2 linked regions of the Styela clava genome follow. The protein of the gene in region 2 purifies or fractionates together with the protein of the main gene of each other region. This does not show direct contact. Links are inferred from orthologs where the notes say so. Each region holds a gene or a part of one and is shown on either strand. Other genes may lie near its edges.

What was found. The genes of interacting proteins can lie anywhere in the genome.
Region 1: the proteins of translation initiation factor eIF2 assembly protein-like (region 2) and eukaryotic translation initiation factor 2 subunit 2-like purify together in Homo sapiens (affinity purification with mass spectrometry; 4 studies listed by BioGRID and IntAct, counting the BioPlex papers as one, with this or other methods). This does not show direct contact. The link is inferred for Styela clava from reciprocal best matches to the Homo sapiens genes CDC123 and EIF2S2.

Annotation. Positions count from the first base shown.
Region 1 is NC_135262.1:17,200,276-17,210,978, forward strand, and holds the start of eukaryotic translation initiation factor 2 subunit 2-like, read right to left. Parts: upstream 5,014-10,703; 5' UTR 4,862-5,013; coding exon 4,832-4,861; intron 4,484-4,831; coding exon 4,363-4,483; intron 4,007-4,362; coding exon 3,902-4,006; intron 2,978-3,901; coding exon 2,943-2,977; intron 2,718-2,942; coding exon 2,618-2,717; intron 2,535-2,617; coding exon 2,461-2,534; intron 1,759-2,460; coding exon 1,610-1,758; intron 1,380-1,609; coding exon 1,323-1,379; intron 979-1,322; coding exon 893-978; intron 470-892; coding exon 294-469; 3' UTR 1-293.
Region 2 is NC_135258.1:10,861,745-10,872,740, reverse strand, and holds the start of translation initiation factor eIF2 assembly protein-like, read left to right. Parts: upstream 1-5,969; 5' UTR 5,970-6,045; coding exon 6,046-6,128; exon of another isoform or gene 6,129-6,160; coding exon of another isoform or gene 6,161-7,201; exon of another isoform or gene 7,202-7,544; coding exon 7,545-7,695; intron 7,696-7,965; coding exon 7,966-8,110; intron 8,111-8,609; coding exon 8,610-8,719; intron 8,720-9,186; coding exon 9,187-9,385; intron 9,386-9,635; coding exon 9,636-9,664; intron 9,665-10,022; coding exon 10,023-10,152; intron 10,153-10,254; coding exon 10,255-10,400; intron 10,401-10,986; coding exon 10,987-10,996. Other genes in the region: ubiquitin carboxyl-terminal hydrolase 44-like, read right to left, coding at 671-827, 2,204-2,430, 2,505-2,645; iron-sulfur cluster assembly factor IBA57, mitochondrial-like, read left to right, coding at 6,161-7,201. UniProt on the Homo sapiens protein: ATP-dependent protein-folding chaperone for the eIF2 complex. Binds to the gamma subunit of the eIF2 complex which allows the subunit to assemble with the alpha and beta subunits.

The sequences.
Region 1 (10,703 bases), on a different chromosome or scaffold from region 2:
TCTCCCACACAAACGAGCCATTCAGCTGATGATTAGCATGAAACTAAATATACTGGCTTAAAATTACATTATGCACTGCCCAATTAAGCAAAACGCTATTTTGCTCTCGGCCAGTTTGTACACAGCAGTTGTCCCAATAATGGCAGCACTTATTGACTGATAACTGTAAAAGATTGAGAGATAATTTTTTGAAAATATAAATACAATTCTGTGTGATGCGAGTGCCAACGAACATGATAAAAATAACTGCTTTCTGAATTTTGTGACAAAGTCTTCGAAAAAGTTTACATTACTCATGTAGCCCTTGCTCTCATCCTTGCTCTTCTGCCTGTGACAGCTTGGAAACCTGATTTGATGCTTACGACGGAGCAGCGTGATTGACATACATTACATCGAAGAAAATATAATCTATCCTTTCTCTCAAGAACTGTGTCAGGTGAGCGGCAGGTATGACAAGTCACATATTCCTCTGAAAAAACGAGAGTAAGAATGTCATGTACTATTCGGATATTAATTTAAAAAAAGTCAACAACATTGGCTTAATCCAGGGGTGTGCAAGGGCGGCCTGCTGGCCACAACCCGGCCCGCCAAACCATTTCGTGTGGCCCTTTCCAACATTCAGATTTTTCCCCATCAAGCATAAAATCTTTATCACTACTTTTCTTTGAAGCCATGATCAACGGCAAAAAAGCAAGAAAAAGCACACAATCACAAAAATTTATTCACACATGTTATTCTGCTAACATCTTGATTCGTCGAATGGTTGAGAGGCAGACAAAATGCACGGTTTGAGTGGTGTCATCTCACTAGGTCGTGCGCTAGTCTCAGCTCAGTTGCAGAGCTCCCAATTTCCATTTGAAGATTCCAACAAAGATTACAAATTAAAACATACTTATGTAACTTCTCAGGACACTTTCAAGTTGTTTTTGTTGGAATCTTCCTTTTATAATGAGTTGATTGTTTCCGTCAACAGAACCACTAAAATAAAGAGTATATTTATATAAACTTGAAAACATATCCACTCAGACTTTGAATTGATTATAGTGAAAATTGCGTCACCAAGAAGCAAGAGGAACAGTTAGTCTGGTTGATTTATCCTGTTGCTTTGATTTATTTAACTCATTTCAAGAAATCGGAAACCCGACAGAAAATTATTTGAAAAATATCATTTGAAAGTACACTCAATGCAGTGGCATATACAATCAATAACAAATTAAACCTTTTTTCGTTCTTCAAATAATTCAGTTTTGAATGGAGTATGAATTCCAACGACAAGAAGCAAACACACTCACGACTAACAAATGGAAATAAATGCTACGAACCTCGTTCCAAGCTCAGCGAGAATAAAAGAAAGGCAATGTTTTGGTTGTCTTCGAAGGCTGTAAAAAGAAGAAAAATAGTAAAAAAATAAGCTCGAAAAATCATGAGAATACTAGAAATAATTCAAACCCGAAAATTTTATTTTTTAGAACTGCAACATTGCTCTTAGGTATACAGCGTATGAAATCGCTAAACACAGACCAACTACACATGGGCTCAAAATTTAGTAGTATGGAACACATTGATGAACAATTGCATTTCATGTGAGCATATGACTAGTTTAACTTACACTGCGCATATTTCTGTGAAGTTAATAAAAGAGGTTTTTCTTGTTCCAACACGAGCACATTGTGGGGGTCTCATTATAAATCTCTTCTTTTCACCGGCGACCATTTCTGGATTTTTTTTTCTCATGATGTCAAATACCCTTGCCAATAACTGAAATGAATAAATTAGACATTTTACACGGGATTTACAGTTAAATGAGCAAACAGATAGCCAAGTGTGCCAACTAAGTACATTTATCCATCAAATATTCATTTTTATTTACAATTCTTCTCCTGATAGAGGGACCAAGTAAGAAGATAACAGTTGACACAAGGGTACTCATATCATATATGAACAAACTTGGCTCAGACAAAAACATCAAATGAAACCACATTTTGTGTACCACGTGTTAATTACATTAACATATTCATAATAATAAAATAACACTTTAGCATATCAATAAAGGTGTTGAAGAAAAATCTGTTATTAACATTACTATAGATATCATGACATTTTAAATAAATTAACTGCCGCCCTCTCATCGTTATTCGGAATAGAAATACGAGTCTGCAGAAGTATTTACTCAAACCCAACTAATTCAGCCAACGATATACATGCAATGACATAACCAGGCCAAAATGAAGATACCAGGTTAGAGTTAGCCCATGATTTTATTCGATTTTTTCTTATTTTAGTTCTATTACGAGTTCGGGGACTGTCTGTGTTAGCCAGTGAATATACCCCCTGTCCATAAGATTCAGTCCCCTTACACATCTTGATGTAAAGTAAGCGAACAAAATTAGTTACATCTATATTGCTATACACACTCCTGGAGCGCCAAAATGGAAATATAGAATGTGTGAATTAACAAACCTCTTCATATGTATAGTCTCTATCTGTTCCTGCCCATGTTGATTCTCCTGGAGTTACATGAATTTCTTCTTGTTCTGAAATAAACAAATGAAACCCATGAAAATGTGTTAAATTATGCATAGAACAAATTTCGACAAAAAATTGACAAAACAAATACCATTTTGTTCCTCAACTTGGTCTGCGAAAGCAACTTCTTTGCCCTTTTTCTTTTTCTTCTTATGAGTTAAATCGAGTTCTTCTTCTTCTCCGTCTTCTTTCTATGGAACAAAACGTATTATCCAATAAGAATTGAGAACAGGAATAATACTTAGAACGGTGGACTATAAAAAGTATTCAGATATAAACTTTGTAGATAACTGATAAAAATGACATTCTATATAAATAACATTAAATTTAACTACCATACTGATGAGATAAAAACAACCAACACATAAAGTAACTCACAATACAATTTCAATAAAGAAAATATTAAAATAATTTACTTTTTCTTGAGCTGTGCCCTCATCCCCAGCATCACCTGCAAAATATGAATAAACAAGATATTTTAGATTTATTTATGCAGAGAGATGATAAAAATATTAAAAAAAACTTTTTCCTATAGGCACCCAAAGTTTTCACCGTAAGTTTCTACAGGTCACATAATGAAATGTATTGTTTTAATTCTGTTGGACCAAAAGTATTACATTGATGCAACATAATTTATTCATTTTTATTTACACCATTTTTATTTCACCTTTTCATCCTCGGAATAAGAGCAAACCACGAAAACAGTTTTATCGTCAATTAAAACACAATTTAAAGCACAAAATTAGTACCACTGCAAAAATTATATCCTACATTTTTAGGTCAAACAAAGCCAACAAAAATATTTTAGGCGAAAGGAATTTGTGCATCACTGTTTACACTATGACAAAAACTTGGTTATCACTTATCGATCTCGATCGGTAAGTATGTTGATAGGTATTTGTCTGTTAGACACTTTCGTATGTTACGCAATATCTCACGAAAGCGAAGTTGAATCTGCTCCAAATTTTGCATGTGCATACATCATATCTAGAAGCCTATTGATTTTGGATGAATTATGTCGTATAATTAGAGTTATTAATTAATTACTGATAGGACACGCAGTGTCTCTATTAAGTCAGAGCAAAGGAATCGAAACCGCAGATCGATAAGTCGGCGGTCTCCGATCGCAATCTAGTTGATCCTTTTACAACTTTGCTTTGCACAAGCTTGTGTTTGGGGCACTGTAACGTCATAGACATAGATAATTATTGGACTAGGCCTTGCAATGCAAAGGGTCGCAAGTAACAGATAAAACTGAATTAAAAAAACTTGTTTCACGGGCAGCACACTATTCAAAATTAGCACTTCTCCACAGGCCGCACTATTTTTGTGGGCCGCAGTTCGCACACCCCTGCACTAAATAACCCCACAATACCTGTTTCGTTTTTATCTTTGTCACCTTCACCATCTTCGTCATCCAGGACAAACTTCTTTTTCTTCTTCTTTTTTTTCAGATTTGTGAGTGATAATTCATCTTCAACTATAAAAAGAACATTTAAAATAATTTCTACCTATATTCCATCTCAAGAATTTTTCCTGCCAAAAAAATTCAAAGAGCAATCATAGTAAAAATGACTCAAAACTTGAGTCAAAAATGGAGCTGGACAGCAATTTTCAAATTTTATCAGATATCACATATTCCCGCCACGCTAATATTCTGTGGCTTATTATCTTATTTTTGAGAAAGTAACTGAGTGAAAATATTAAAAGATTATTTATCTTGTCACCGGATCGTATCATCATGTAATCACACATGGGGAAAATTTGCTAGAAATAGTAATTGTATTAACAAAGGTAGTCTTTTAACAGTTTTTATCATACTCTTAGTGGTAATACCTTCTGGAGCCGGAGTTTCTCCATTTTCTTGTTTTAGTACTTCGGTCGACTCTGTATTACCAATGAGTTCATCTAAATTTGCAGTCTTCTTTTTCTTCTTCTTCTTTGTTAATTCAAGATTCTGTGATTCAATAGTCAAAAAAAAAGTTCGAAGTTACACTCAACTAGTATACAGGGCTTTTTGGTTAGAAGGATGAAATATTACTATTTATCCTTAAAGAGGAAAGTAATCACGGATGTGGTGGCGAGCATATTCCAGTTCCTTATGACTGTATGCTTTGAGTGATGCCCCACACTGCATAGCTGATTAATATGAAATATGGGAAATTTATTTTAAGATCGGTACTCGGTATCCACATACCGTAGGTACAACTGTACAAAGCAAATTTCAGAACACAATGCACAGAATATAGAACATAACTCTGTAACTTCATGTTGCACCTGACAAATCTGAAATGCCAAAACTTACCATATCGTCATTGTCCTCTGCCGCGGCCATTGCTGATTTATTAATCAATTCGTGTATTTATGAAAAAAACTAATATAAATAAGGAACTTGTTAGCTGAACAAAAGAACTGAGAGCATACGGTCCAAACAGCTCCACTGCAATTTCTGCGTTAAAACGTGAGCAAGACCTCGTCAACGAATGACGATTTCGCAATTTTTCATAACAGAACAGATGGTGTTCGGTGTTGCGTGAAGGGTGGATCTCATTAAAATTTCTTAAAATTGCATCATTTTTACATTGAATCAGTCGTACATTCAATTACTTCATGATCAATCAATTTTTGACAAACTTTTTACTTGATATTTGTTGTCGAAATATTGCCAATAATGACATCCATAATACGGTGCTCACTCAGCCGTTAAAAAAGAAATCATTGCATCAGCCATATAGAAAAGGGAACGCAGTTGGCGTAGTGATACCAGAGCCATTATATAACGGCTTTGGTGATAGTGACCACGGCACTTGCCACGCTGCCCTTTGCGATTTTCTCAAAATTATGGTGACTATGGATGTTTCTCCGAGCGTCGATTCCCTTGTTTATTTTGTACCAATGAACAATCAGCAATAAGTCAACAATGGAACTTTGTGCAGTCGCTCGTACACTTTATTTCGGCCTCACTTTCATTATTAAATTTAGAATATTAAATTGTCGACTCGTACATATACATTTTATCTCTATTTTTTATCCATATTTCATCGCCAATGCTTTATCTGACTGATTTTTATATACAGCATGGATCAGGAACCTCGGTGACTGAAACGGCGCGGATTTGACAAGCCAACCTTTCATTCCAGGGGCATAGTAATAGTTTAATTTAAACGTTTTCCATACCATTGTGGGTAGATTACGGGCCTAAAAATTAGCTGTAAATACTTTTAAAAAATATCCTCTATGACTATAAGTCTTTGCTTCAAATAATTGAAATCGTTCAACTCATTAGAAAACTTGCACTTTGTTTCCGGCACTTTGATAATTCAACGACATTCGGGTGTTAAATTAACGCATGGTTCATACTGTCATATCCTAACCATGACGCAAATATTTTTCTCTATATCTGAACTAGTCAAGTGAGACGCGAATCAGTGGTGAATCGGATGCCTCCGTTAAAAACATTTAGTAGTTTCAAATAGAAAAACTATTTATGACTGTCATACTGCAAAACCGTAAACCACATTCAAGTCTTTCGGCGGGACGGCGGAAAACATGCTAAAACCGGGACGTATGGTAAGCCTAGAAATTAGTCCCGAAAAATCTGCGACAGAATAGGCTAAAACTGACGTGTTATGACCTATGGAAATTTATTCGGTCAATCACTTTTACATCGTACATTTTAGTTTACAAATATATCTACTGCTGTACAAAGTTAAATTAACAGTAACTGTCTCATATTCCAATGTCAGAGCAGATTATGGAGGAGGATAATGCGTAATTTAATTGACTCGACATGAAATGAATGCAATAAAATTTCTCTCCCAGTTTTTCGATATCTTTCTGTTATTAGTATAACGAAGTTGTACCCATGTCTGTCAGAAATAATACAAACAAAAAAAGCAAAATTGGCATTTCTGTACTGGTATGTATATATACCCCAGCATCGTCCTAAAAAAAGGTTAATGTAAATGATGAAAACAAAATGTATAAAACTGATCACAGAATCGGGAGAGCAAACAAAACTTAATAGTGAGTGGTACGTGTTCGCTCACACAAAAGTCCAAGAAAAACTGCTTTAAACACTCCAAAAAGAGGAAAAACTTCAGATGTAATAATAATATAGTAAGTTTATTTCGACTCCATAATAAGCATAACAATACATTTGACAGATAAAAACAAATAAATAAAAACTGATTATGAAATCAGGGGAGCAAACGAAACCTTAGATAAGGTTTATAACGTACAAAATATAAGATGGGAGGTTTTGCCAAGAGGAAGTGGTACGTGTTTACTCACCTAAAATGATTAAGTTATTTCACACACGCTGACATGCACACACACTCAACCACTGAGAAGTTATTTTAAGTCAGAATAAAACGCGATAAATTTAGGGTAGACTATAGGGCAGTAAACAAAAAAAATAAAAATAAATACTAGAGAAAGAAAAAAAAAATTATTTGCCACTACATATGGATAATTTTGTAATGGTTGCCATTGCCAAATTGATCGATCTTCTAATCGTTAATTAAAATATAAAAGGAAGATTCTATTGAAAACATATTGCCAAGCTGATTATAGTTGGAGTCAAATGCCAAGTTGCCCAATCAAAGTTACCAGAATTGGGTGCATGAAGAGGTGGGCGAGACCATTTCATTCCCCAAGTTAGAGCCTATTATTGCCAAATTATAGTCCAGATTGTAATAAGTAATTAAAGTTACCGGTAACAGTAAAATTACTATAATTAAGTAAAGTAGGATATGGAAATAAATTGGTTACAAAGGGTGTAAGTGAGGTTTTTCATTTTTGGGTATTGATTTCAGACAAGGATATAGGAATAAGATTGTTATTTCACAGGATATCAGAGTCTTTGTTTGATTTTTTTCTTATGTGTTTTACTTCATTTAATCACTTTGAAGAAACCTGAAAAACAAAAAATAAAACTGCGAGTAGATGTTTCAATGATTTGGTGAAGGGGAACAAGCTGAACTATTTATTACAGGCAAAAAATAAGTGTTTAATTAAATGGGATGTATTGTCATTATATAGCGATGGATAGATGATCTATGATGACATTCTGCCTGGGACAGAGAAAAATTTATCACACCATGCAAAAAACACACAAAATTTTACTATCTATACCTTGGCCAACATGTCAACTCAAACACCAATACCCTGCCTTAACATAAAATGCATGCATACATAAATGATATAAAAACCACATCCAATTAAAATGACCCACCGCAAATTAAAATCTGAAGGGGAGAATCCAACATAGCTCTACTACTCGCCTTGTTGCAATGATTAGTAACCTTGCAGGAACTATATTATACATCTACAACCCTTACACCACCACTCAAACATAAGACCATGCATGTATGATAAGGACATCACAGCTAGAAAAAGGTAAAAACACGAGCGTGAAGTGATAGAATGTGTGCAGTTATTTAAAGATAATATTATCCAGGTATGACAGCTACCTATATATTTAAAAAAAATATACTCATGCATGTCACAATACCATTTTTTGATGCTGGACTAGGTCTGGCCAAGTCATGGCAAGATATAACCATATTATTATAGCTGTTCAACATTTTCATTAAAACAATAATGTGCAAGGGTGGAGTGGAGTGTCCCAAGTTTTTGTCATCGAATACCGCCATTAGTAATTTTAATATTTGCAAACTAAATGAGACTTGACTTGTTTTTGAAAAGATTTTTTGGACTTTAACGTCTTCAAATTTAGGGGAAGAGAATTCCAAAGTTTGGGTCCAGTAAAAGACAAGGAATGCTGACTCACAGATTTACTCATGAAAGGTACGAATAAATCAGAACTACTTCTTCGGTTGGAGGTATTTTTGACAAGTATGTCGTTAAAGCAATTGGGCAGCGCATTATTAAGGAAATTGTAATCTAGGGATAATATTTCAAATTTCATCATATCTTCAACCTTAAATATATTTAGTGATTTGAAGTAAGGGTCTACACTTTCACGTTTTCTTTTACCAAAAACTATTCTTAAAAAATTATTACAAATACTCTGCAGTTTTGAGACAAGTGTTTTATTACCATGAAGCCAGACTGAACAACAATATCGAATATGGCTAAGTAGTAATGATTGAAACATTGCTAGTAGAGCTGATTGATCAACACACTTGGATACTTTGGCAGAAACTGCTAGGTTTCTTTTAGTTTTACGAATAACATGCATTATTTGTGATTTCCATGACAGATTTTCATCAAAGATAACTCCTAGAAATTTTATTTCTTTCCCTCTTTCAATTTCATTGCCATTGAGCAGTAGTTTTTTTGAACAACTCACACTTTTATGCTTGCTTGGATGGAATAATACAAATTTAGTTTTGTTAGCATTAAGAGATAATTTATTAACTAACATCCAGCTATGAATGTCGGTTAGTTCTTGGTTTGCAACTGTGAATAGATCTTCAAGGTTTTTCCCATGAAGAATCAAATCAGTGTCATCAGCAAACATGATCGACTCAGAGGATTTCAGACACCTGGACATGTCATTAATGTAAGCTAGAAAAAATAATGGGCCAAGTAAAGATCCTTGTGGAACTCCGTGCTTCATGACACAAATATTTGTAGACAATGAGTTGTCATATTGCACAATTTGCTTCCTGTCTTGAAGGTCCTGATCCAATTGAATGGGACGCCTCTAATTCCATAGTGATAGAGCTTAGTTTTGAAGATTTTAATGAATAATCCACTAGATAGTGAGTGGTTGAGTATATATGCCTTGATATCAATGATATCTTCTGGAACATATTACTGCAATATTTTGAATGGAGTACAATCGATTCCAAAACTTGAGTTGGACTTTGGCAGTTCGCATAATTATGATGCAGTTGGCTATTGATTGCAATGATGTAGTTGACCTCAATAACATAGATGGGAATACCTGCTTTCCAAGATATGAGAGGTGTTTTTTTGTCATAGCTAGCTGGTTGAGCCATATTGTCAAGCAATCTTTGTGTCACTTGGGTAAAGTACTAAATTTATTTGCAATTTGTGTACTACCGCAGTCGAGTTCAACAGATGGACAGAAATTGCTTTTATTTTCACCAATTAGTTCATTAATTGTTTTTCACACTGCCTCGATTTGATTTCTTTTTTGGAGTAGTCGAGCTTGAAGATTCCTGCATTCATTATATATTGTGATTTGTGTCATCTATCTTTTTATTATTAATTAGTTTCTTATACAGTTTTTGTTGATTTTGCGTAGCTCAGTATCGTACCAAGGTTTGGATATTTGGTTTGTCTGTTTTGCTGTGTAGAAACAAATCAAAACATTATATTATTTATGGTGCGACAAAACTAAACAAACAACAAAATAAACCAGACTAAAATATGACATGAGGCATAGCCTACTGCTGATTTTAACAGTGGTGTCATTGGCTAAGTCACAAGTTTGACAGAAAGTGAGTGGGAATCCTGGGAAACCAACAAAGAGGGCCACTTTCGTGTTTCACAATAGCAGTGAAAGAGATATAAAAGTAGCTGTTTCCTAATGGCGTTGTGGCAAACAAAGTGCGAACACTCAAAAAAATGATTTGTTAGCCTGAAAAATTTCTTTATTGAAGATTAGGTAGCAGATTGGCAAACAGTAATCACAAAACCTGGACCAGTCGAAAATTACAATGCGTCAATTTTCGCATGCACCCCTGACTGACGATTCAAACGATCTGGGACTAGTGACGCATGATCTAGCTCACGCATAAATCAAGTTCTACCGGTCAAGTATATCACCCCTGAAGCCAACAAGTCTATATACACTTGACATGTTATTTTTTAAGTATAATATTCTTCTAACCAGCATTACCAACTACTTTAAAAGTTATGTAGCTCGCCAATCTCATGAATTGAATATATATACAGAGAAGAATATTGCCACCATACCTTTATTGAACAATGGAATAAAGAAACATGATAATAACGTTTTGGTTTCCACATGATATTATTTTTCACAATACAGACAGAATATTATTATGATGAATTGTAGTTAACTATAGTCTAAATATATATATTTTCCCATGCACTTTTCTTTTGATTTGTAATGTTTTGAATGTTTCCTCGAGCAACGGCTTCCTTGTTTAGTTCTTCTGCAATAATGACAAATTAGCACATCGACGGTGTGGTGAAAATGGAAGTTTGTGAAGCAA
Region 2 (10,996 bases):
CAGGTTAGGGTTAGGCGATAATTTTTTCCAATTTTCCTTATTTTAGTCCTATTATCAGTTCGAAGACTAGTCAAGAGCCTCCCGTAGTATTTATACATAAAATTATGGCCTAACCCTAACCTAGTACACATATTACATTCCGATGTCCGCCATCTTGGTTCGCATACTTCGGGAGCCCCAAATCTTGAGTTTAGATTCCATGGCAATCACCTCCCCCAAGGTGTAATAAGTTGGTAAGGTAATGCCAAACCAGAAACATAGTAGTTATCCTTCATTTCAGAGTTGCTTATAGAAAGCCTTGTTCAGATTATTTTATATAATACATTCTGACATGTCTCATGATTTTACTACATAACACATCAAATCAAAAATAATAAATGAGGTGAAATTAAAATTAGTTTGACATCTGGAAACGTAAGGAAAAAAACTTAACATGTCTGCAAATTGCAATACTATAAAAAAATTTTCTACTTCTTCTCTGGCAAAATCACAAAATTTGTTTAGCAGATTTTACTAAAACAAATTTCCAACAAAGATTCAATCACGAATCCGTTCTATCTATAGTACATATATGAAATTGCGTTCTGATTTTATTAATTCATATAATATCTTCCGGTAGAGCATTAAATTAAAATTTATCTTAACGACATTACTCCTTCCAATTTCTTACCAAAAGAGTTTCTCTGAGGACTTTGATGTCACTGGAATTATTATCATTAAGCACATAATCATCACATTTATAACAGAAAACATACAGTTCATTGACATCGATAACCAGTGGATGACCAGATTCTTGAAAATGTGTTAGGGCGTGTTCTTTTATAAACCTGCAAAACAAAATTTTTTACATTACATATATTCAGTACCACGTATTCTTGTTTATTTGTTACAAATACAATAGGCGCAATGGCCAAGTGGTAAAGATGCTGAAGTAATATTACTGATTAAAAATCTTGGGTTCAAATCCTATGTATGACACCTTACTCAGACTGTAATAAATTGGATAGGCAATGACGAATTGCAAGGAATCTGGTCCTTCCAAAATATCATAGGTTCTTACCTATCGGATGCTTATACAGAGCCTTGCCCAGAGAGGTGTATAAATAGGTCGAATAAAAAAACAATATGCCTATTTAATATTATATGGAACTAAATAAGTTTGAGAAAGCCTTTTTTTAGACAGTAGTGCTCAAACATTTCTTTATTATGTATACACGTACACGTATACACGTATTTCCAACATGCTTTATAAATAAAACATACTTTCGCCTTACTATCTGTTATTCGTAGCTTATTGTTAGCTAGTTATTTTTGAGGTGGGGCATGAGACTTGGGATTTTCTAAAAAGGGGGCTCGGCTCAAAAATCTTGAGAACCACTGTTTTAGAGCATAACCACTCGTTTAATATAGGACAAATTGACCTTTTGTTTTATAACCAATTTAATACCAGGTGAAAGTTCATCCTTATATTTTCATGATTTGATATCTTATGTCTGGCCCAAACTTGATTTAGTATAACAAACTAATATTTGGTAATAGCCAGCTTAGCAATTACAGTATTGGAGAACTTTCTTAAAGCTTAGTCACAACTGGCCAAAACTAACGGAAAATTCTGATGTCATATTATGAGTGAAAAAGAGGGCTCCAAAGACAGATATAATTTCCTGACGCGAGCAGATGAATTATCGAACAAATACAATTGTCTGACATTTGTAAATTTGTTGATTTCGAACCCAGTTGTATGAACACATTCACATACAATCATTTTGAAATACATTCCTTTATCAAATAGAAATTTTATCTCACTTACCAAATTAATGAAATAAATATATACAAATGATGAATGTATATAAATTCAAATGGCAAAAAAAATTAGAGCTTTCATGCAGTTGATTGATCATTTAGGAATGCTAATATCTGGTCCATCTATGTCCGAAAGCAATAAGTTAATAATTTATTCAAAAGTATATAGGATTGACTAAAAACATTGATGATACAAGACCTTATTAATGTGCTGAGTACAAAGACACAAAACAGGAAATATATCTCTCTACTCTTGAGTGAGTTTCTATCATGTGCGAGTGAGCTTGTGAATTTGCAGAAGTAAAATTTGTGTTATTGAAACTAATTGACGCAACAGGGATATCGAAAAATAACAACATATCACAGTAAAACATACAGAGTGTAGGCTTCAGATACGTACCTGCCGCATGCTACATTCGGGCAACTTAGACACGCCCATACAGATTCTGTTGTGAAGCATGTTTCACATAACCATCGCTGAGGATTCACAATCGAATGTCGTTCTCCAATTCGAATCTTTCGAATATGCTTACAATTACAAATGCTCAATTCATAACCAGTTGTCAACCGAAAATTTGTACATCTCGCCAGATAATTTTCTTCTTGTTTAACAATTGTATCTCCACCCTAAATAAATTTCAATAATTATAGATATGTTCGTGTTATTATTATAGAATTAATATACATGGAATTATAGGTACCTTTGTGCACGGCTTGGCACCTTTGCAACCACCTTGCAACTTCAAATTCTGATTATCAGATTTAGATCCTCGTTTTGGGGAAGATTTATCGGCATTTTGACGTGGTGATGGCATACGAACACTGCTAGCGTTGTTTTTCATTACAGATCTGTGTTTTGACGTCAACTAAGTTAGTCAGAAGTTTCAACAGCTGCACAATATAAAAAATGAAGTAAAACATTCAACATAGTATAAAAATAATACAGTACAGCACACTTTCCGAATTCCAAGAATGTCCCGTCATTTGGTTCAATAAAACAAACACTCCATCTGTCTCACAAACGAGGGCCGTCTAACACAATGATAGAGGTGCCATATGGCGTCATGTGTGCCCCGATAATAATGTAAATTAATCGTGGCCGTCGCATGATCAAAATTGCTGTTTTTGCTAAAAACTCTCGAATGCCACGGTAGAAAGTTTTTCCTTCTGATTCCTTATTATTTTTTCCAGAGGAATTCAACAATGACGTTTTTAGATTGCGCTTCTCTGTAGTTTTTTGCCCAATTTCATTTTAACGTATATTGAGGGACAACAATGTCCAGACGTCCTCGAAAGGAGAAGTGTTTGTTCATCCGCAAAATGGGATTCTTTGGAACGAGACAATGTCTCTCGATCTGTTTAGTGTGCCGTATTTTAGTAGTAAATGCCTCTATAACTAATTCGTTTTACATCTATCGTAACAATGTGAAAATCTTAGTTTAGTTTTTCAACAGCCGTGCTGATTGTGTAATGTAAATTACTCTATAATTTATGTAGAACATCAATTTTATATAAATGGCCGTATGTGAACAATATGTTTGGCAAATACGGAAATCCTGCTGTCCACTTCCCAAACCACAGAACCAACAACATCTGATTCCTCAAGCGGTCAAAGAAGAACTTATCAATACAATAACACAAGACTAACAAACTACTGAACTACAAGATGCTATCTGTTTTAGAATAATGTTCTTCTGTTTATTTTTAAGCAGTTAGTAGGCTAGGCTATTTCATTACTAGGTTAGTACCATAGAACCTTCAAAAATGGCATGTTTTGACACCTGGCTGCATTTACAGATTTGGGTATTGCTGAAATTAATTGCACTTGTAAGTTTTAAATCAGGTACATAGGCTACCCATATTAATTTGAAAAAAACTATACTTAACAATAAAGATTACAGCATTTTTACAAGCACGAAACGAACCATGGGTATCAACTTATGACATCTAAATACCAGGATACTAGGATATCACAGCAACGTCACCACGCTTCTGCAGCTGGATTTGCCTATTTTTGAGCTGAGTACTGGAGTAGTAACTGGCTTGCAGGGTAAGGTATACCAAGTCGATCTGTCAAAATTCATGGCATTCACATCTAACATATAGATTCATTAACAACATTACGCAAATGACCGAAATTCCGCTCTAACTGCAATGAACAAAGCATTGAACGCGGGCAACGACTTCCTTCGCCCAACCATCTCCAGCAAAAATAACTCTGTATGGTGACGTCACCTGTCATGCTCCAGTAGTCCCATTATCTTTCATTTTTTCTCTTCTCTCGTTTGTAGGAGAGAATAAATTACCAGACAAACGTGGATGAGCGTGGGCACGTGATAAATGTTTGACGATGAGCAAACTTGCCAGGGCGGTGCTTGGTTTCTCAAAGGGTTTGTTGCGTAATAATTTTCTCGCCGAGGTGCTTCCCGAATAAAAAGGTCCAACGGGCATTTTGAGAAGGGGTGGAAATGACAAAATGATGCAAGCAGTTAGTCATAAGTAAGAAATACGAATTTACATCCACTTACGCTCACTGCAATTGAAGCATGCTTTTTCGGTGAGTCACCAAATCACGAATTAATGAAAACAAAACTTACCAACATTTCCATAATGAAAACTGATAATAACCGGCCGACAAGTCAACTACTGTAATATACCTGTATGTAGTTAGCAGCAATGCCATTAAAACGTTTATGACATAACAATGAAATTGATCTTTCATTTCTCATAATTAGTCTTATTACAGATGTTCTTTTTCGGTGGAATATGAACCAACGAGAGTCCCGGAATGTTTTGGGGGTATACGAGAACTAAACGCTACTTTGAAGTTCTTTTCTCGCATACATTGCTTTCGGAAAAAACGAATCCGTGTTTTCGCACATGATTTCCATAAAATCAAGTACCAGTAATCGCATCAGTCCTGATATATTCTGCATTCGCAATGCTCAACACTATGTAATAATGACTCACTGAAGCAGACGTGTTTTTTTCCGATTAAGAATATAAGATTCGATCCATAACTAAATGGATAGGTTCCCATATTTATCTCCGTGTAGCAGACAATAAGCATTTGGTGTAGAGTAGAACCACCATCTTCTCAGTTCTCACACGGTGGCTCAAGTTGGTCATGTATTTGTTTCAGGTGTATAGACTTCATGTAGGTGTTACCGAGCAGTTTCCATCTCCAATTTGACGCCCAGTGACCGTATTCGGCCATCCCTAATTTGACTATTTTGCTACCACCACTACAGACTGCGAAGAGTCCAGCTGCGAGCCGTGTATGATTATCACAGGCGCTATGATACCGTAACGCTTAGCATCGTGCGCACCAAAGACCATATGTACCTTTGTATGGATGGCCTATATTTGGAATTGAAAGAGATGTCGGGTAAGACACAAAATTTAAAGATCACGATGTTGTTGCAAGTGTCCTTGGACCCGTCTGCCGCAGCTTATGTTAATTTTTTATTTTACTTGCATAACTCAGATATAAACTCAATAATTGAGACAAATTTTTCCTTTTGACTGAGTTTTTGTTTGCATTGCCAGGAGCGTGAAAATACGGTAGCCTACCGGTACCGTACTGAATTAGGATCTGATGGTGAAGGAAGCTATGGATGTTTCCACGAGCATCAATTTCCATGTTTCTTTCCGTAATGCAGTAATACCTAATGGCCTATCGGCAATGAGTTAATATTGACAGATTGACGTAACAATTAAAGCTGTAAAGTTAGTGAGGCCACTCAGACACTTGTTTCGCTCAGACAGATATTCAAGAATGTTAATACAGTAATACTTGTTTGACAAATAATGAAATACAAAAATACCAGATTGCTTTCTTACATCACTGCGTCTGCATGGAGGACTGAGAGATAGACATATTGTGCCCAACTATCTTTACTATATTTACAGATAACTGGATAGGGGCGTAATCGTCAAGGCACTCGCTTCTTTAGATCCAGGTATCTATTTTCACCATGCCTGTCTCATTTTACAGTTTTACTCTTGTCCTCTTGTTCATGCAATTCTAGTAGTCTGTTAGTGGTCATGAAGAACTTTCATATTCTGTATTTTATTATATATTAGTTTTGCCAATAAAGTCATATCTTTTTTTTTAAATATGGATTGTTGAAGTCAATATAAACATGAGATTACAAAACTTTTTTTAGAAAAATTATTGATTGACTGGTATTAAGGTATACTTAAACTTCCTCAAAATTTGAAACTCAACAATACTACAATATGACAACATTAACAAAAGAACATGTGATGAATTGCATGTTCTCAAAATGGTATTCACAATTTTCAGACATCACAATAAAAAGGTAGGAGTTGATGAAATCTTATTTTATTTAAAATGTCTTTGGCTATGTCAAGAGTTACACTATTACGACGTATCTTTCCGCGGTTCTGTTCGAAATCAAAAATGCTGTCTAGTGCAAGGCATATGCATATTGTTGACAAGGATCAGGATAATGTCAGATATGCTCATTTGAAACATCGGAGTTTACTTGAACTCGAAGGACGGGATGTTACCAATTTTTTACAAGGGATTATAACCAATGACGTTGAACTTCTCCCTGAAATGAAATGCATGTATGCAATGATTTTAAACCAACATGGACGCATTATGCATGATATTATGTTATATCATCAACAACACGACACAGAAAACAAAGTCCTTCTTGAATGTGAGTCGTCAAATTCCGAAAGTATCATTAAAATTTTAAAATTATATAAACTGAGAAAAAAACTGAGTATTACACCCAGAGATAATCTATCGGTGGTGCAGGCAATGTCTGGAAATTCTTTTCATATTTCTCCACAGTTCAGCAATGTAGTCACTTCTGCCATTGACCCGAGGGTCCCAATGCTCGGGCATAGACTGGTGGTTGAAAATATGTCAGAAAGTGACTCTGCATTAATTAACATGGATATTAATGCATATCATCATAAAAGACATTACATTGGTGTTCCAGAGGGTCCGTTAGATTTGCCACCTGGAACTTGTCTGCCCTTGGAATGCAATCTTGATTTTATGAATGGTGTCAGCTTTCATAAAGGATGTTATATTGGTCAAGAGCTCACAGCTCGTACCAAATTCACCGGTGTCATTAGAAAACGACTTGTTCCTGTGAGCATAGAAGGAGAAGGATCTATTGAATCTGGGTCTTCAATATACACAGAGAAGAGAAAAAGTGCAGGAAAGTTTCGATCAATGCATTCTGATGGTAAAGTAGGTCTTGCATTAGTGAGACTGAACTACTCAGGAGAGACACTTTCTTCAAAAGATGGTCAGCTAAAATTTCGATGTCATATTCCAATGTGGTGGCCATCTGAAGATGGCACTGAATTTTCTGACGGAGTTTGTGGCCCAGCAACAGAGGAAAACATATGATCTTTTTATTTCGATTTAACAAATATTCATCTATTTTTTGCTTACATTTATCGCTTTTTAATCTCTCGTATTAATTTGAATTCAACAGTTCTTTGATTTATTTTTCGAGGATTCTTTTAAATTATATAGTGAATTTGATTTATACTAGATGCAATGTAAATTAGTTTTTGACATATATCAGTAAATAACACTAAATTTCCTAATATAATTTAACTATTAGATTGAAATTCATAATTTTCAGGCTATTGAACTCTTAATACTGAATATGTTGAAGAACTGTAATTGTTCACTTCAAATGTGTTTAATAATCGATGGCTGTCATTTGTGGATTTTTGTTTTTTAGCTTTATTATACCATTGCCGGATGATTTTGTTGAATATTTGCAAAAAGATGGTCCATTGATATTACCAAAAGGTGCTGATTTAAGTATACAAAGTAATTTCGATGATAATGAAAATTGGTCAGATGAAGACGAAACACAAAATGAAAATGAGGTTTGAAGATTTTCTAAGATTTCGAATCTGTGATATTCTTGCCTTTGTAGGGACGCCAAATTCAGTCATAATTTGAAAAAATGGATTCATAATTATCCTAACTTACTAATTCAGAAGATTTATTACAAAAAAATTCTGGTATATGTATATATTATATACCTATTTCAAAATATACCAGTACTGGGATTGCAATATTTTTGCTTGGAAATATTGGATTGTGGTTTATATACTTATGGAGAAGCAATTGAAGAAGACAATTGTTGTTTACAGGCACCTCAATTCACTGCTCTTCTGGAACAAATCAAAGAAGTTTTAGAGAAATTAAATTGGAAATCATTTCCAAAATTGAATTGGAGTTCACCCAAAGATGCTATTTGGATAACATCGAATAATAGTTTGAAGTGTAACACTCCAGGTGACTTTATGTTTTTATACCCTTTTCATGAAATAGGGTTGTTATTGAATACACCACTATGTCTGGAAAAACTTGAAACTAGGTTTGGCTACTTCCTTGTTACATTCTGTCTGAGGACAATGGTCCTGATTGACCCTTAGCCATTATTGCCAACATAGATGAGGCTTACTACTAGCATTTTTGCTTCTGCTTGTTACAGAATGCCTGATGCCAAAACTTGGGCAGTTAATGTTAATTGTTGTTGAAAATATTTTCAAACTTTTCACTGATTGCGTATCATGCCGACACAAATATTATTACATCAAAGAGGAACTATCAATTAGAATCTGTTCGATTTATTCCTATGATGCACTCGAATCACCTTGCTCATTTGTTTAATAATTATAAACAATCTTCGTACAGCAATATATTTTTTAAAGTGTGTCCAAATATCAGAAATTAGAGTTCAAAATACTGCTTCGTGAAATTGAATTCTTTTCTATATTTATTGTTTTATCAGGTGACATCATTTTACTTATGAAAAGTTCCGACTTCATCACTTACGATTTGACATCTCCATTTAAACTATGTACTGATGATTCAATACCAGATCCACAATTCCAGAAAGAAGTAAGATTTTAATCTTTTATAATTTGTTCAAAATTATATATATGTCGTTCTTTCCGCCAGAAGGGATGTTCACACCCGAATTGTATGTTTTCTGGAATTTTATTCAATTTAAATTAGAATATTTTATTGAGATTTATATTACATGATATTGACATAAATCATGTTCCCACTGCAAGGATGTCAAATTTTAATAATCTGATTATTAAATTAGATTAACAATTTCAGCATCAGCATCAAATCAGCAATTTCCAAGCATCGGAATATTGATATCAGCAAATATTGTCATAAATATCATGCATGTATAATGCATCCTATAATTGTTCTTTTTTTTTTATCATTATTGTAAACTGTTTGTCTGAGGAAGTCTGCCTTTGGTCAGATGGAACAATACAAAATAAAATTTATGAAAATGTGATCCAAAATAAAACCGTATCTTTTTTCTTATCAGATTTATTAAATATTTTCAGTTGGTTTTGAGGAAATGGGCAAACTTAGTACCTGGAATGGAATTCAGATGTTTTGTACGAAACCACAAACTCATTGCTGCGTGTCAGAGACATCATCAACAATATTATGAATATGTTGAAAGCCAACAACAGTCTTTACCTGTAGAAATTTGCAGATTTTTTCAAGAAAAAATTCAACATAAATTTAATAATTCTAATTGTGAGTATCTTGTAAAAGAAAATGATTGAATGAAATATAAAGTGTCTAAAAATGATTTATTATGTTACAGACTTGACAATCATTATTAAACCAATGATCACTTTGTGTGAGTGCTACAAATCTGAATCTCATGAAGGATTAGAGAATGCCAATATGCCATAACCATTGGCAAAATTTTACATTACTATTCTCTCTAGTACCTGTGTTATTTTAATGATTCAAAAGTACTGAATAACCCAATTTTTTTTAGATGTTGTTGACATCTACAAGAAGAGAGATGTGAGTATTAATAGATTTAACTAGATCATTGTTCTTAGAAAATATATTTTTCAGTTTCGGATTTCTGAATTGGTAAATTAGATGATCATGATGTAATATAGGAAATATGGTATTCCCGAAGTATGTGAACCAAGATGGCGGACATATAGCTTATGCTTTTTACCTTGATGACTAGACTTAGGTTGATTAAGAATTTAGGTTAAATTCATTCATTTACTAACTCTAGTTGTGTTTGCAATTGCTTTCTATGTTTTGCTGTTATTTTCTCAGTAATGAACCAGACCCATTTTATTGTTTCATAGTAAACTGTCGAATGTGCTCACTTAATGACCTACAAACAACATTTTTCTTGTTTCAGGGAAAATTCTGGATAATTGATTTTAATCCTTGGGGTTCAATGACAGATTCATTACTGTTTACATGGGAAGAATTGAACTCTTTTGTGCAATCACAATTAACTGAAGAAGATTGTCCCATTATTACACCAGGTATATTATTGTATTTTTCATAAGAATTTGCTGGATACAAGGTCATGTGCACATAAATAAAATCGAACAGTTTAGTCAGAAAAAACATTGTTTTATTTTTAGATGGTGAACCCATTGGAATGTTCAGATTTGCTAAGAGAGATGCAACAATGCAACCAAGTGAAACGCTGAGTTATAGAATGCCACAAGATTTCCTAGATTTAAGTCGCGGTGAAGACGCAACAAAACTAGTTGATTTTTTAAGAATGGTAAACTAATTTTGAATTTACTCAGCAGTGATTGAATGTGGTGGTGTGTTCCTAACTACTGTTTCTGCGGACTTCCTGAAGTATGCCCACCAAGATGGCGCACAACCTGAACTCCGGTTGTGTACCAGTTTAGGGTTCAGGTTGTGCGACATCTTGATGCGCATACTTCAGGAGTACCGTTTCTGCTCTATGCCTTTGTGTAGGTGCACCCATATTGCACTAGTGGCAAGGATACTGTGATAAAAATCAAAGCAGCTATAGCTTTGTGGTTCAAAGGTTAAATTAAACTTTTAACAAATTTTATGCTGTAATGTTTTTATGACTGAACCCAGAATTTCTCAGACAAGCAGTTCACATTTGTTTTACAAATTATGGGTGTTTTGGCCAGGAATATAACAGAATGAATTTGTGAATGTCTCATGCAGCATTATTCAATATTACTACCTAAGTTTATTGTACAGTAGTTAGCCTAGTTAGGAATGCTAACACCTGGTATAGTCTTTTTTCTGAAAAAGGGTATTTAATGTGATCTGTATCAGCTAGATTTCATTTCTTTCTTTCACTGTGGAATTCAAATATTTTCCAGAAAATTCAAA